Caenorhabditis elegans: one gene and its partner. The protein of the gene in region 2 binds, or shares a complex with, the protein of the main gene of each other region. Each region holds a gene or a part of one and is shown on either strand. Other genes may lie near its edges. The genes, in order: sdc-1 and sdc-2.

Region 1 (7,771 bases), 4.8 Mb from region 2:
ACATTTCGCATATATCCGCACTCTCACATCTTATTTTTTAAGTAATAAGGGTACTAATATGCTCTTACGTAGTGAATGGAGATTTCCTTTTGTACATAATTATGCACTGCTCCCCACTACTAAATTTTGGATGGCTCATCAAGAGATGGGCCAAAAATAATTTCAAACTCACTGAAAGTGTCTTTTCTCTATTGAGGAACACAGTATGTTGTTATTAATAAATTTGCTCACATTCTCCGAAATAAATGTGAATTTGTTTGCTTCTGTTCTTCGAAATAAAGATCAATATATAATGAGTGCTTATCACCTCCGTTGTTGTCTAGTGGTTAGGATTTATGGCTCTCACCCATAAGGCCGGGGTTCGATTCCCCGCAACAAATTTTGTATGGCTAATCGAGGGCCAAAAATAACTTCCGATTAACTGAAAGTGTCTCTTTAGGATTTGTAAAATTTTAATGTGAGTTTTTCGAAATTCAAAAGAGAACAATTTTCTAAATCAGTTGAAGGAGGACTAACGGTTCGGACAATTTTGAACGTATAGACTCAAAATGAGCTCAAATAAACGAATTTCGTAATGAAGCTTCTCAAAAAAAATTCCAAAATTTTGAACCGCCATAAAAAAGTTTTGAAAATTTTTTGAGCAGTTTCATTACAAAACTCGTTCATTTGAGCTTATTTTGGGTCCATACGTTCAAAATCATCCGAACCGTTAGTCCTCCTTTAAGGACATATCTCTATTTTAAAATTATTTATCATGTTTCTCATTAAAATCAATATGTTTTTGGGAAAAGTTCAATTTTTAAAGTCACCGAAAAATGAAAACGAACATAATTTTGGAGCCACATATGATATATGGGTCTTCGAAAAACTTTCTGTTTTAGAGTTCCTATTTTTGAACAAGAACCCATTTTGAGGTACACAGTATGCTGTAAATGTTAATTTTGCTTACATTCTCCGAAATAGATGTGAATTTGTTTTCTTCTGTTTTTTGAAATAAAAATCAATATATAATTACCGCTATATGACCGCCATAAATAGTTTTGTAAAATCATTAATAAAAATTTCATTACCAAATTTGTTCCTTTCAACAAGTATTGATTTTATACGTTCAGAATACCCCGAGATTTCCCGTTAGTCATTGTTTCATTTATTCCAGAGTTGACCTGATTGAACGCACGCAACGCACTTTTTCTCTCTCGCCACACTTTGGAAGTGAGAGACGCAGCAAGAGATGTCTTCTCTGCCGTGCAGTGTTGTCGTGAAAAGGACGACAGAAAAAAGAGTGTGTGGAGGTGAGAGGGTGGGAGGGGTGTGAGACGGTTGTCCGTAAACACTCGCGCAAAAACGCGGGAAAATTTTTCTGGAGGAGGCCGTGCTGCACAGGTAAAAACCTTTTTAATTCGATCAAAACAATTTTATAAATTTGTTCGATTGGATTTTTCACGGAGATTTTTCCGCGGTGCTTTTATTTTTTTTTTGATTTGCTGTTATTGTTTGAACTGACTTCTAAATTTTGATCTCTTTTACTTTTCGATTCTATTTCCCTTAAATGACAATTATAACTTTGGAACATTTTCAGCAGTATGTCGGATGAAGAAGATATAGATGAAAGCTTTGAAATCGAAGAGGACGGAATTTCAATCACAGATGCCAGAGGGTAAGTTGTTGTTGTTTTTTTTTTTTTTTTTTTTATTTCCTTGGTGGCTTGTCCCAATGTCCAGTAGGAAAAAAGGACATGTATCATTATAAAACTGTTTAAAAATTTTCACATTTCCAAAGCTTTCCAAGCCCTAATTAATCCAACAAATTCTTGTTTAGAAACAGTCTGAAAGCGCAACAAATTGCTGGTAAAGAACGAAATTTGGATCCAGAAGCCGATGATTTGGAGGTAGTCGTCAATTTCTACGAAGCAGGCGACGGAACATTCCAACTACAACTGCCCAAACTAACAGCTGTGAAACCAGTGGATAAAGTCAATGATGTACTGGACTTTATCAATTTTGACAAGAAAGTATGCGATGGAATCCATTCATCAATCAAATTAGTTTCACGTAAGTTTAACTGCATGGTAACTAGAATTAATTCGTATTGTTGGTTGCGGGACAGTAGTAGATTTTTGCCAAAACCAAAAATTAATTTAACCGGGTTGAAACATTTTTGAAAAATATTTTTACAAAGTTTCCAGATGTTGAGAATTGAAAAATTTACCTACGATTTTTTTTTCACAAAACCTACGATTTAAAATAATTTTTTTTAAAGCTATTTGGAGTTAGGGTGTCTCATTTCAGTGTGATCTACTTAAATCTACACACAATGCGGGAGTTGAAACGCAGAGTTCTCAACCAATTTTGCATAGTTAAGAACGTGTTGACGTCACACTTTTTGGACAAAAAATTCCCGTATTTTTTTTAGATCAAACCGTGATGGGGCAGCTTGACACTACGTGTATACATAAAATCCATTATTGGGCCTTACTTTACTATATAATTTTCAGAACGAGATCAGACGGGACCAGCACCGTTTCCGAAGCATAAGCTGACGTGCGCCCATTGCGACTGGTCGTTCGACAATGTGATGAAGCTTGTCCGTCACCGAGGTGTTCACAAGAATGTGGGAGTCTACATGTGTCAAGTGTGCCTCACACTGTTTGGACACACCTATAATCTGTTTATGCATTGGCGGACATCGTGTAGCCAGACATCGACAACTGCCACGGATATCGAGATACAAGTAAGCACAAGTTGGTATTTTGAAACTAATGAATCCCCAAGCTCCAGAAAGCAGAAACGCCGTACCTTCATCGCAATGTGCTCAATGTTTTGGGCTCACTGAACCGAGCGTCGCAATACTACTGCACTGGTGGTTATGTATTTCTGCCGTCGGATTGGTGCATCACAAATAAGGAAATTGTTATGGAAAAGGATCATATGTCGTCGTGTCATTTATGTCACCTGCCTGTACCAAATAAATTTCTCGAAGCTCACGGAAATGTGCATCGGGGGCGATTTCGAATCGATGGACGTATCTACGGCGACTACTTTTGTCATATTTGTGGAACAGTTTTCATGTAGGTTTTTCGACATTTTTTTTCAAAAAATTGAAAGAACACTGAAATTTCAGAGAACAAGATAATCTATTCAAGCATTGGCGTTTGCATTGTGAAGAGGTTATTGCCTACACACCAGTCGACCAATATCTATCAAATACGGAGCTCGCCACACTCGCTTGGCTCGTCCTTCAAACGACAATCTCACAAGCCGATATTGAATGCTTGAGGGTCAGCTCGTCGCTGATCACTGAAAAATTGGCAAAAGAGCACGCGGAGAGACACGGAATCGCCAATAGTATGCACAAGTATTATCACTTTCCACAGGAGATTTGGCCCCTCAAAACGTTTGTCAATTTGGATTTGGTTAATGATGCGATTCCGATTTCAGGAGAAAATTCATTTGTGAGCACTTTTTTTCCATTTTACTTTGAGATTTGTATTATTTTCTAGCAAAACATTATTGGCGGGTCGTTTTAGAACCTATTTTGGAGGCAGGTAGGCACGTTTTCAGGGCCTACCGAAAATAGCAGATTCTGAGCTACGTTGTACATACCTACTTGCCTACTTTCCTTTCTGCCTACCAAAATTTTTATATTTTTTTTCACTGAAATTCAATCTTTTTTTTCAGAAGATAAAAGATCCCAAACGCCCAGTGCACATAATGAACTTGCTCGCTACGGCGTGTCCGGGCTTTTACGCAACAGGAAAGACGTTCAACATGATTTGCAGTACGAAAAAATCGGAATCAGACACGAAAAAGGTGTATCGCGTCATATTGAGATATACGACAGAGGGATCCGTTATTCAATCGGTAATTTGATTTGTGCTTTTTTTCGAAAAATTTTTTTCAGATTTTTCAGCACTTTTAGCTAGACGTTTGGGTATTAGCCAGTTTTAAGAAACTTAGCAATGATCAAACTTTTAATTCAAAATTTTGAATAATGAGAAATTTATTGGAAAGCTTTATGATAATCCAAATTCACTTTTTTTTTCTTCCAGTACGATTTCACGGCTCGCTCATTCCCCAAACTCCGCGTGGACTCGGAAACGCCAGAAGGTGTTTTTAGCCATCCGCTGGCCGATTTCAATGTGGAATCGAACGAGGCGATCGTGTGTCACAAGTGTGATAGTAAAAAGTTGACAATCACGTTCTCGACGGAAGTACGGTTGAAGTATCATCTGCTTCGACATTCGGAGTCACGAAAAGACGGTTATCATTGTGCGATTTGCAAGATTATGTGAGTTTGTATTGAATAAAACAATGTTGATTAGTTTGAGAGTGAGAATTGGATTTTAAAAATCTTCACAATTTTTCTTTATTTTTTGACCACTTCCGAATTGGCTAAGTAATTCCAACAGACGGTAAACGTTTGCATAAATGAAAGTTAATTTCAGAGTATACAATCGTAGTCATGAGGAGCACTGGATCAATGATTGTATTCCGCTCCAGAAATTGTATAGAGATCAAAAGGACCGAGAGTGCTTCGACGCAGAATTTGCTGCAAAATGTGCGAGCATCATAAAAAAGCTCAGAATACGAACATTGATTCGATGGAAGGAACGAGCGAACGAGGACTGGGTGGAGACGAAGCAGACGCCTGATCGTATCGGAGAAGATTTTGCTATAAAATTCCAAGTTGGTACCACTGCTCTGAAGACGCTGATGGCCGGGCTCGAGGAGCATTATAAAAATGCTCAGGCTAGACATGAGGCGTATAAGTACAGCGAGGAAAACTTTTTGCCGCCACTTTCGACGCCGGTCGTTGTATGCTTTCATTGTGGTAAGTGGCTCACCGTAATAGGAATGAAGAAAAATACAAAAAAAAGTTATTCGATCTTTTTTGTGAAAATCTGAAAGTTTAATTCTCTTCCTCTCTCTCTTTTTTAGTTTCTCCTCAAAACACCTTTTTCAGGCACCCGCTGTCATTATACGCTACTTCACGACCACCTTGATTATTGCCACTATTGGCCGCGTAACAAACGATTAGTCAATGAAGAATTTCATAAATGGAAGAAGAACGGCTGTCGAAATACGTGGCGAGTTATGGTAAGGGAGATTATTTGTGTTCTAGATATTATTAATTTTAATGAATTTAATGAAAATGATTGAAAACAATTTTTTAAAGTGGTGGGAGAAAGGTGTATGCATTTTTTTGGTTTTGCCACAGCTTTTAATTTTTCAATTATGTGCATATGTTTGAAGGCGGTTAATATTCAAAACAGGGGTGGGCGGCAATTGCCGTTCTGCAAATTGATTTGCCGACAAATTCTGCAAATCGGCAAATTACCGGTTTTCCGATTTGCCGGAAATTTTTAATTCCGGCGATTTTCCAGTTTGCCGATTTGCAGGAAATTCTTATTTTTGCCAAATTGCCGGTTTGCCGTTTGCCGGATATCAGATTTGCCGGAAATGTTTAGAGGGATTTTTCATAAGACGGAAACACTTAAAACTGTCTTTTCGAAAATTTTTCCGTTTTTTCTATACATTTTCATAGAATTTGCTTACTTTTCAAAATAAATGTAAGAAGATCATAGGATGCGTTTAATTTTGCCATTTGAAATTGAAATTCTGAAATTTCCGAAAGAATAAGTGCGAAACCACAGTTTGCCAAAATTTTTTCGCAAATTCGACAAATCGGCAATTTGCCGATTTGCCGACGTGCCGGAAGTTTCAATTCCGGCAATTTTCCGGCGTGCCGATTTGCCGGAAAAAATTGTTTGCCGCACACCCCTGATTCAAAAGCTTAGCTCTTTTTTTGGTTAACAAACTTAAATATATATTTTTTCAGAAAAGTGTAGCTGAAGCAATGCAAATTGAAGTGCCGTTCATATCTGAGGAGCAATACTCAAAGGTACAGTTTTTGGGGAATAATTTATCAGTATAATGAACAGAAAATAAAAAAAATAGCAAAAAATTCTGAGGTTCATATTTTTCAATGATCATTTCCAGATACTCGACTACCACACCTACTTTTGCAACGACACACGCTACAAGGTTCAGGACTCAATCAACAATTGGAACGATTGCTCAACAATTCGAGACGTTGATTTGTCCGAAAAACTTTCAGTTGCTGAAATTGTGCAAAAGGGCGAGGACTCAGTGATGGCTCCAGAACCTGATATAATCAAAAATGTTTACTTTCCGTCTGCTCGTATTATTACAGATAATATGCTGTTGCGAATGACAGAGGTATAGAATTTTTTGATCATTTTTTAAAATAGTTTTTTTTAGATAGACGATACGATTTTAAATATTTTTCTAGTAACAATTGGTAAATTCTGAGATTATAGCGGAATTAAACCTTTTTTTTTAAATTTCCTAAGAAACTTTTTAAGAAGGCACACTATGAAATTTACCTATTTGGTGCCTATCTGAGTAAAATGAAACCAAAAAAATATATACATATACACATTTCAGATAAACTTGAATGATGTCGTGCAGCGAGACCCAATCACCAAAGAGGAACTAACGGGAAAATTCAAGGAAGTTCAAGACGAGCAAGACGCGATTCTGTTTGGTGACTACCGTGCTGTTTTGCGATCGAAGGGTATTATGGTCAATTCGATTTCGGATTTTGTTGCTCCTCCAGATGAGCTTGCGAAAGCAAAAGCATCCCAGGAGTCTGCTGGTCAAGAAAGTGTGGATCATAGGAATCGAAGGGAACGAGAATTTATTCAACAGTATATGGGTAAAGATCTGGCACTCGAGGCGGCCGCCCGCGAAAATGGGAGACTCGTCGAGGTTGACGAAGAGGCGGAAGATTATGAACTGACTCCGAAGGAGCTCAACGCTCGAAGACTCGTCGAACGGAATCGTCACCGAGAGATGTGCAAAACGAGGTGTGAGCATGGCGAGTATGACTATGAAAAGTTCAAGGCGAGGCAAGTGCCCATTAATCCGGCAAAAATGAAGGAGCGGAAATATCTGACTCGTGTGGTACACGAGAGCGGCCCGGATGATGATGTGTGCCCAGATGAGCCGGAGAATAACATCATCGCGTTCTCACCAAAATATGAAAATTCGCTCAGCGACTTTCGCATAAGTGCAATTGGTTTCCGCGAAAAGTATTTGGCGGACGATAAAAAGAAGAGAAATGGAATTCCGATTCGAAAAATGACTGAGGCTCAGAAAGGTGTTGCGCTAGACTACGATACGTTGATGGCGCGACACGGAGGTCGTCCCGACGTGATAATGAACCCGGCCGGAACTGTTTTTGTGGGAGGATTTGTGTTCGATCGGAAACCGACGTGCCAGGATAACATGCAGACTGTTTATGTTCTTCGTAATGGCTATGTGAGTTTGAAAAGTTTAAGTAATGTTGATTTTGTTCCCCGGTTTTTTGAGACAAAATTTGACTGTCACGAGGGACAGGCAGAGAAGTATAATAGAGAAGTGAAGAAAAGCGGAATATTGAGCCTCGATATAAGACAGTCCCTCCTAACCACGTGGTGTCAGACTGCTCCGTTGCGGTTTGACCTACAAAAAATGCGGGAACGTTTTGCCCAAAAAATGTGACGTCAGCACGTTCTGAACCATGCGAGATCAGTTGAGCCCAACTGTGCTTCTCTACTCCCGCATTTTTTGTAGATCTGCGTAGATCAATCCGAAGTGAGACGCTCTGACACCTCGTGCCTAACTATGTAGTTCTGAATTTTGTGAACATTTAGATTTTTCACACAATTTTTTTTCAGGCACACCGGTACCGAATTTATCACTGCGAA
Region 2 (5,183 bases):
TATCCTTCAAATTCGGAGTCGACGCTGAAAAAATTTCATAAGGCAATTTTTGAGCAATGGATAAACATACTCGGAAGGTACACCCTCAATTTCGAAATTGTTTTGTTGCATTGCTGCATCATATCTTGTCTTCGATTTTCTTCCAGGCTTTTTCTTTGCAGGCTCGTTGACAATTTGTTTTTTCGCACGTGGAACAACGTAACTTGGATCGTACAGTTTAATGCGGTAATTAAGTAAATCTTTCCGTGTAAAGAACTTCATTCCGTCATTTTGGTTTGTTTTTACCAGGGGCCTTGCAATAATTTTTTCTGGTTTTTTTGAATCACCAATTATTCTGGTTATTCTAGAAGAACATTCTGATAGCTCATGCCTGACATCTTCTTGTTCCATTTCAGCCACTCCATCAGCATTGCAACCAATGGAAATTTGATAGTTGTTTGGTATTTTGTCAAATTCAAATGTGTACACATCTCCCGATGACGTCAGAACTCCCGATTCCATGTAATCCGAATTGAAAACTCTTAGACGCTCAGAATCGATTTCTTCTGTGACGACTTTTGCTCCACCGGTAATAATTAGAAAAGCTGATAGATAGTCTTTATTACTGGTTGCTCGACCGTGCTGAAAGAAAATAATAAGGTACAGTTTGACGTTTGTGGCTTACATCGTAAAAGGTCCGTAATCCAAACTTTACAGCAAAAGATTTTGCATCCATGTTTGACTGCTCGATCTGAAATGGAACACACTTTTTATAATAAAAATTGCAATTTGTAACTTTTAAAACTTACAAGATAAACAATTTCTTTTAGAGTGATTGGTTGGAGCATTGATTTGTTCTTTGAAAGAAAATCGAAAACCGGGCGATTGCATCGAAGTATCTCAGAAAGATGTAGATTATAAACAATGGTCTTGTCAAATGCGACTCTTAGTCTACTTTCCCACCTGCAAAATTTCAAATTTAAACGTACAAAACTTTGATTCAAAAAACTTACTGTTCGTATTCCGTGTAAAGTGGGAAACATATTAAATTAAACATATCGACCAAATAACGTTTTCTCGGACAGCATATTCCACTTTCATCATATTCAGGAAACTTATTCTCCCAGACTACAAAGAATCCATGAATATGACGGCCAATACGATGAAATTTGTGAAGCTCTTTAGCCGATATTGTTCCAACTTGAAATTCAACGGGAGGGGCGATGCTGCGGCTGAAAATAAATTTTATAAATATATTTCTGATGATATTTCTGATTGTTTTTAGATGAAAACAATATTTATAAAACTTTGAGCAAGCGATAGCGCTTTAGAGTTTTTAAAACTTGTCGCAAACTCAGTTTTCATCACTTTCCGACTCGAAATAAATAAATTTCCAAAATTTTTTAGAAGGTTTTATGATATTTGGATTTTTAACTACCATAGAAAAGGTGTTCATAATTTCTCAACTGAGCGTACTTCATCTTTAAACGGTTTCAGAATAGAAACAAAATTAAAGAGAAAGAAGCCACGCGTTGCCATAGAAAATGTAAAAAAAATTGCAGCTTAAAGCTACATTTGTGTGTGTTTCAGTTATTTATCAGTCTCAATTCAAATGTTCGAATAATTTTGTTCTCGTCTTGTTCAAATAAAAACTATATTTTTAGAAGCTCAACTTACTAGGTTATATTATGATATTCGTCTTGAGCTTCTTCAAAACGCATCATCAAGTAGTGCTCTTGCTGTTGAACTGTAACGGCATCTTGTGGAAAATATCCACATTCCAAAGTTGGAGGGACGAAGAGTTCAGGAAGATCCGATGAACGGTTCATACGAAGCGAAATTGAATGCTTCTGCATGAGGAACTCTCTGACAAAATAAGATGAGTCGGGGATAACATCATTGTTTTGCCGTTTCTGTAATAAGAATTGAGATGTTCAGATAAATAATTGACTACTTACCGAGTTTAAACGAATACGCAGTTGAACATTAATTTTTTCAAGTTCTGAAGATTGGTTCTTGGGAAATAGTGAATGGTGTTTGTAGAGAACTGGATCATCAGAAATTGATAATACTGGGGTTTTTGGCATTGCAACATAACCGTTCACTGCTCTCTCGTAATGACTCTTAGAAGCTTTCCACCACCCGGTTTGATATTTTAGGCGTTTTTGCTTGCCGGAATGTTTCTTCAATGCATTTTCAAACTGCAACATTTTCACAGATCCATCGTATTCAACCGCAGTTGCTACAATTTGTTCACGAAACTGGTCGCACTTTGGGGAAACAAGTTTGCCAGCTTGGAGATACTGTTCGATCGTTTTTGATAAAGTAGATTCTTTCACTCTTCCAAACTCAGTTTCTTCACCTTCCAAATGATACTGCGGAATTGTGTGTGACATAATGTTACGTGTCACTCGAGTCCGTTTCTGTTCAACTACTTTACCATCATCAGTTACAGCTGGCTTCATGCGATAATTGACAGGTCTTGGGTGATCGTGAACAACTTCTGCTACCAGTTTTGATGTTTTTGCGGTGGATCCACTCTCTATACTCAGATGTTTTGGCAGTTTTCTTCGAGGTTTCTTTACAGCTGGCTTTACAGGTAGAGGAGGAAGTTCAATTATATCGTCTTCTTCTTCAAAACACTCTTCTTCTTCATGACGGTATGCGTTGCGCAAGTGTTCTTCTAATTCCTGTTCGTTTCCATTTTCTTCTATTGTTATATTCAAAAATTCCTGTTCATCCATCTCGAAATCTCCGAGTTCACTAGTACCTCTACTTGATCCAATGAAATGAGTATCTGAAGTAATTCTGATTGCTCCGTCTGGTATCTCATCCTCGTCAATAATGACATCAGAGTCGTTTGATGAAATGTTGCGTTTAACTCTTCCAGGTAAGAAAAACGTGTTTTGCTCGGGAAGTTTCCCAATTTCTGATTGACTATAGTCGCCTGTAGTACTTGCACGTAGATGAACTATGTCATGGATGATAACAACGTCTGGATCAGCTTCATCTGGAGAATCGGACTCGTTGAATGACTCCATTTCACTTTGATTTCCTAGTTCTGATTCATCACTCATAAGTACCGGAAGAGAAAATCACGATTCTGAAAAATAATATATTAGTGAAAATAACGAAAGGTTCTTGAAAAAATTTTTAGACAACGGGCTGTCGCAGAAAAATAAAATTAAAATTAAATGTGTTATGGTAAGCTTTTTGAATTTTTTCAACAAAAAAAAAGTTTTGAAAGAATTAATTTTGAAAATAGTGAAGAGATTGAAAAAAAATTTTTTTGAAAATAATGAAGAGATTGAAGCCTAAAATAACAGAATCTAGAAAAGTAGTCAAAAACAAAAATTGATACTTATTGGTAATTTAGAATTCAAATGCCTTAACCTTTGTGAACTATTCCCTACTTTGTCTTGGTTTCACCAGTCCTGTTTTCTCTAAGTCTCCATTTTCTGTTTAATATGTTGCGAACTGGATGGAGAGAGCCATGGTGGAGAGCGCAAAGAAACGATAGATAGGAATGAGTGGGAAAAAAGGAGAAGACCCAAGAGACATCGACTGAACCTGTGTGGAAAACGAGAGAGTAGAGAGAACAAGGATACACAACTGTGACAGGGGCATGGAGACTCAATAAGAAAGCGGAGGCTGCGTTTAAAGTTATATGGATAAAATAAATTTAAAATATGTTTAGGATAAATAATTTAACTAAAGTTTTTCTAGCTTTGTATAAACGTCAATGTCACGCGCAATTCTGATAAGAAACTCTGCGTAAAGTTTAACCTTGTACAAATGTCGTATACTTTCGATTCGAAAGTAAAAGTGTGAAGCTAGAGGAAAAAAGGAAAATATCACACATATGTTGAAAGAAGTTTCATACAAACATTCAGCAAAAACTCCTACGCAAAATAACATCAATATTAATAAAAATGAAACTAAAGTAAGGTACAGAATAAACAAGTGATTTAGGTATAATTATCGAAAGGGCTCAGGCATCTAATCCGATAAGAGGAAAAGTCAAATTAATAAGTATATGTACAATAACTGCAGATTGTCTTCATCTTCGAATGTGCCAAATTCTATAATGCCGTGAACAGCGCGTCGTTACCGCAGCTCTGACCTCTGCCGTTTTGCGTTGCGCTATGCAGTGATGACCAACGGTCATCTAAACAGCCGGCTGGACAATCGATGATTTTTACGTCATACAAAACGGGGTTGAGTCGCGTAGAAACTGTGCATGAGTCGATATTTAGAAAAATTTATGAACAATTATGTTGACGGGAGAAATGGAAGATGCATACTATCAATGGGAATACATAATGGGTATGTGTAACAAATAATTTTGAACAATTTTAACTGATCCATCGAATATATGTTATATTTTTTAATAATAGGTTGTTCAAAGACCATGTTCCAACAGCAGGAATTTTTTAAAATCAAACTATAAGTAAAACAGTTTAAGTAGTGCATTTTAATAATAATATAACTTTCATGCAATACTATTTTTATGGGTCGTTTTGAGTGCAGGGCTATCAGTGATACAAAACTAATAGATCTTACAAGTAGAGATGCGCCAGAGACATTATGTGAACAACACATTATTATAACCGAAATGCCTTAAATTTTTGAAAATTGTGAAAGCTGCCTTCTAAACCATTTCAAAAGAAAAACATCCATATTGAAAATGCTTCAATTTGTAATAGTTTTTTTTGCCTTTCGAGGTTTCCGTTAAAAATTGCCAATAATGTGTAAATGCTACACTAGGAGCACTAGGAGCTCCATTTTTTCGAAAGTTATAAAATTTTTGTGCCATGCTAAAAAAAATTACAAAATCGTGAAAACTTTTTTCCAATATCCAAATTAGTAACAATTTCAGCTTGTTCTACTTTTTTTGTGATATTCAAATATTTCAGAACTATCAGGAAATGATTTAAACCCTTTTCCTACGGTTGGCGTTTTACTTACAAATACCAAATACACATTGCCATTTCCAGACACTTTTTTGATAAAGACGACCATCTTAAGAGTTGAAAGACCTGTTTTTGGTTTCATAGATGATTTTAATTAATTATTTAAAAACACTTTTGGCTTAAAACATTATTTTTTCAAGAGAGACGGAGAAAGATAAATTTCCATGGCAACATTGTCAGCGCACGAAGATTATACAACCAAGCATAGAGATTGACGAAAGATTTGTTTCC

Evidence for each region.
Region 1: sdc-2 (region 2) and sdc-1 share a complex: the UniProt entries of both Caenorhabditis elegans proteins name them as parts of the SDC complex.

The regions. Positions count from the first base shown.
Region 1 is NC_003284.9:16,274,190-16,281,960, forward strand, and holds the start of sdc-1 (C2H2-type domain-containing protein), read left to right. Parts: upstream 1-1,573; 5' UTR 1,574-1,583; coding exon 1,584-1,657; intron 1,658-1,818; coding exon 1,819-2,051; intron 2,052-2,494; coding exon 2,495-2,730; intron 2,731-2,771; coding exon 2,772-3,067; intron 3,068-3,120; coding exon 3,121-3,451; intron 3,452-3,677; coding exon 3,678-3,860; intron 3,861-4,048; coding exon 4,049-4,287; intron 4,288-4,444; coding exon 4,445-4,830; intron 4,831-4,962; coding exon 4,963-5,096; intron 5,097-5,838; coding exon 5,839-5,901; intron 5,902-5,999; coding exon 6,000-6,239; intron 6,240-6,467; coding exon 6,468-7,343; intron 7,344-7,741; coding exon 7,742-7,771. UniProt on the Caenorhabditis elegans protein: Embryonic transcription factor regulating downstream genes involved specifically in the sex determination and dosage compensation pathways, or regulating other genes involved in the coordinate control of both processes.
Region 2 is NC_003284.9:11,520,612-11,525,794, reverse strand, and holds the start of sdc-2 (Sex determination and dosage compensation protein sdc-2), read right to left. Parts: upstream 3,089-5,183; 5' UTR 3,057-3,088; coding exon 1,938-3,056; intron 1,893-1,937; coding exon 1,657-1,892; intron 1,212-1,656; coding exon 993-1,211; intron 943-992; coding exon 789-942; exon of another isoform or gene 731-788; coding exon 665-730; exon of another isoform or gene 622-664; coding exon 71-621; exon of another isoform or gene 25-70; coding exon 1-24. UniProt on the Caenorhabditis elegans protein: Component of the SDC complex that functions in sex determination and in X chromosome dosage compensation specifically in hermaphrodite (XX) animals.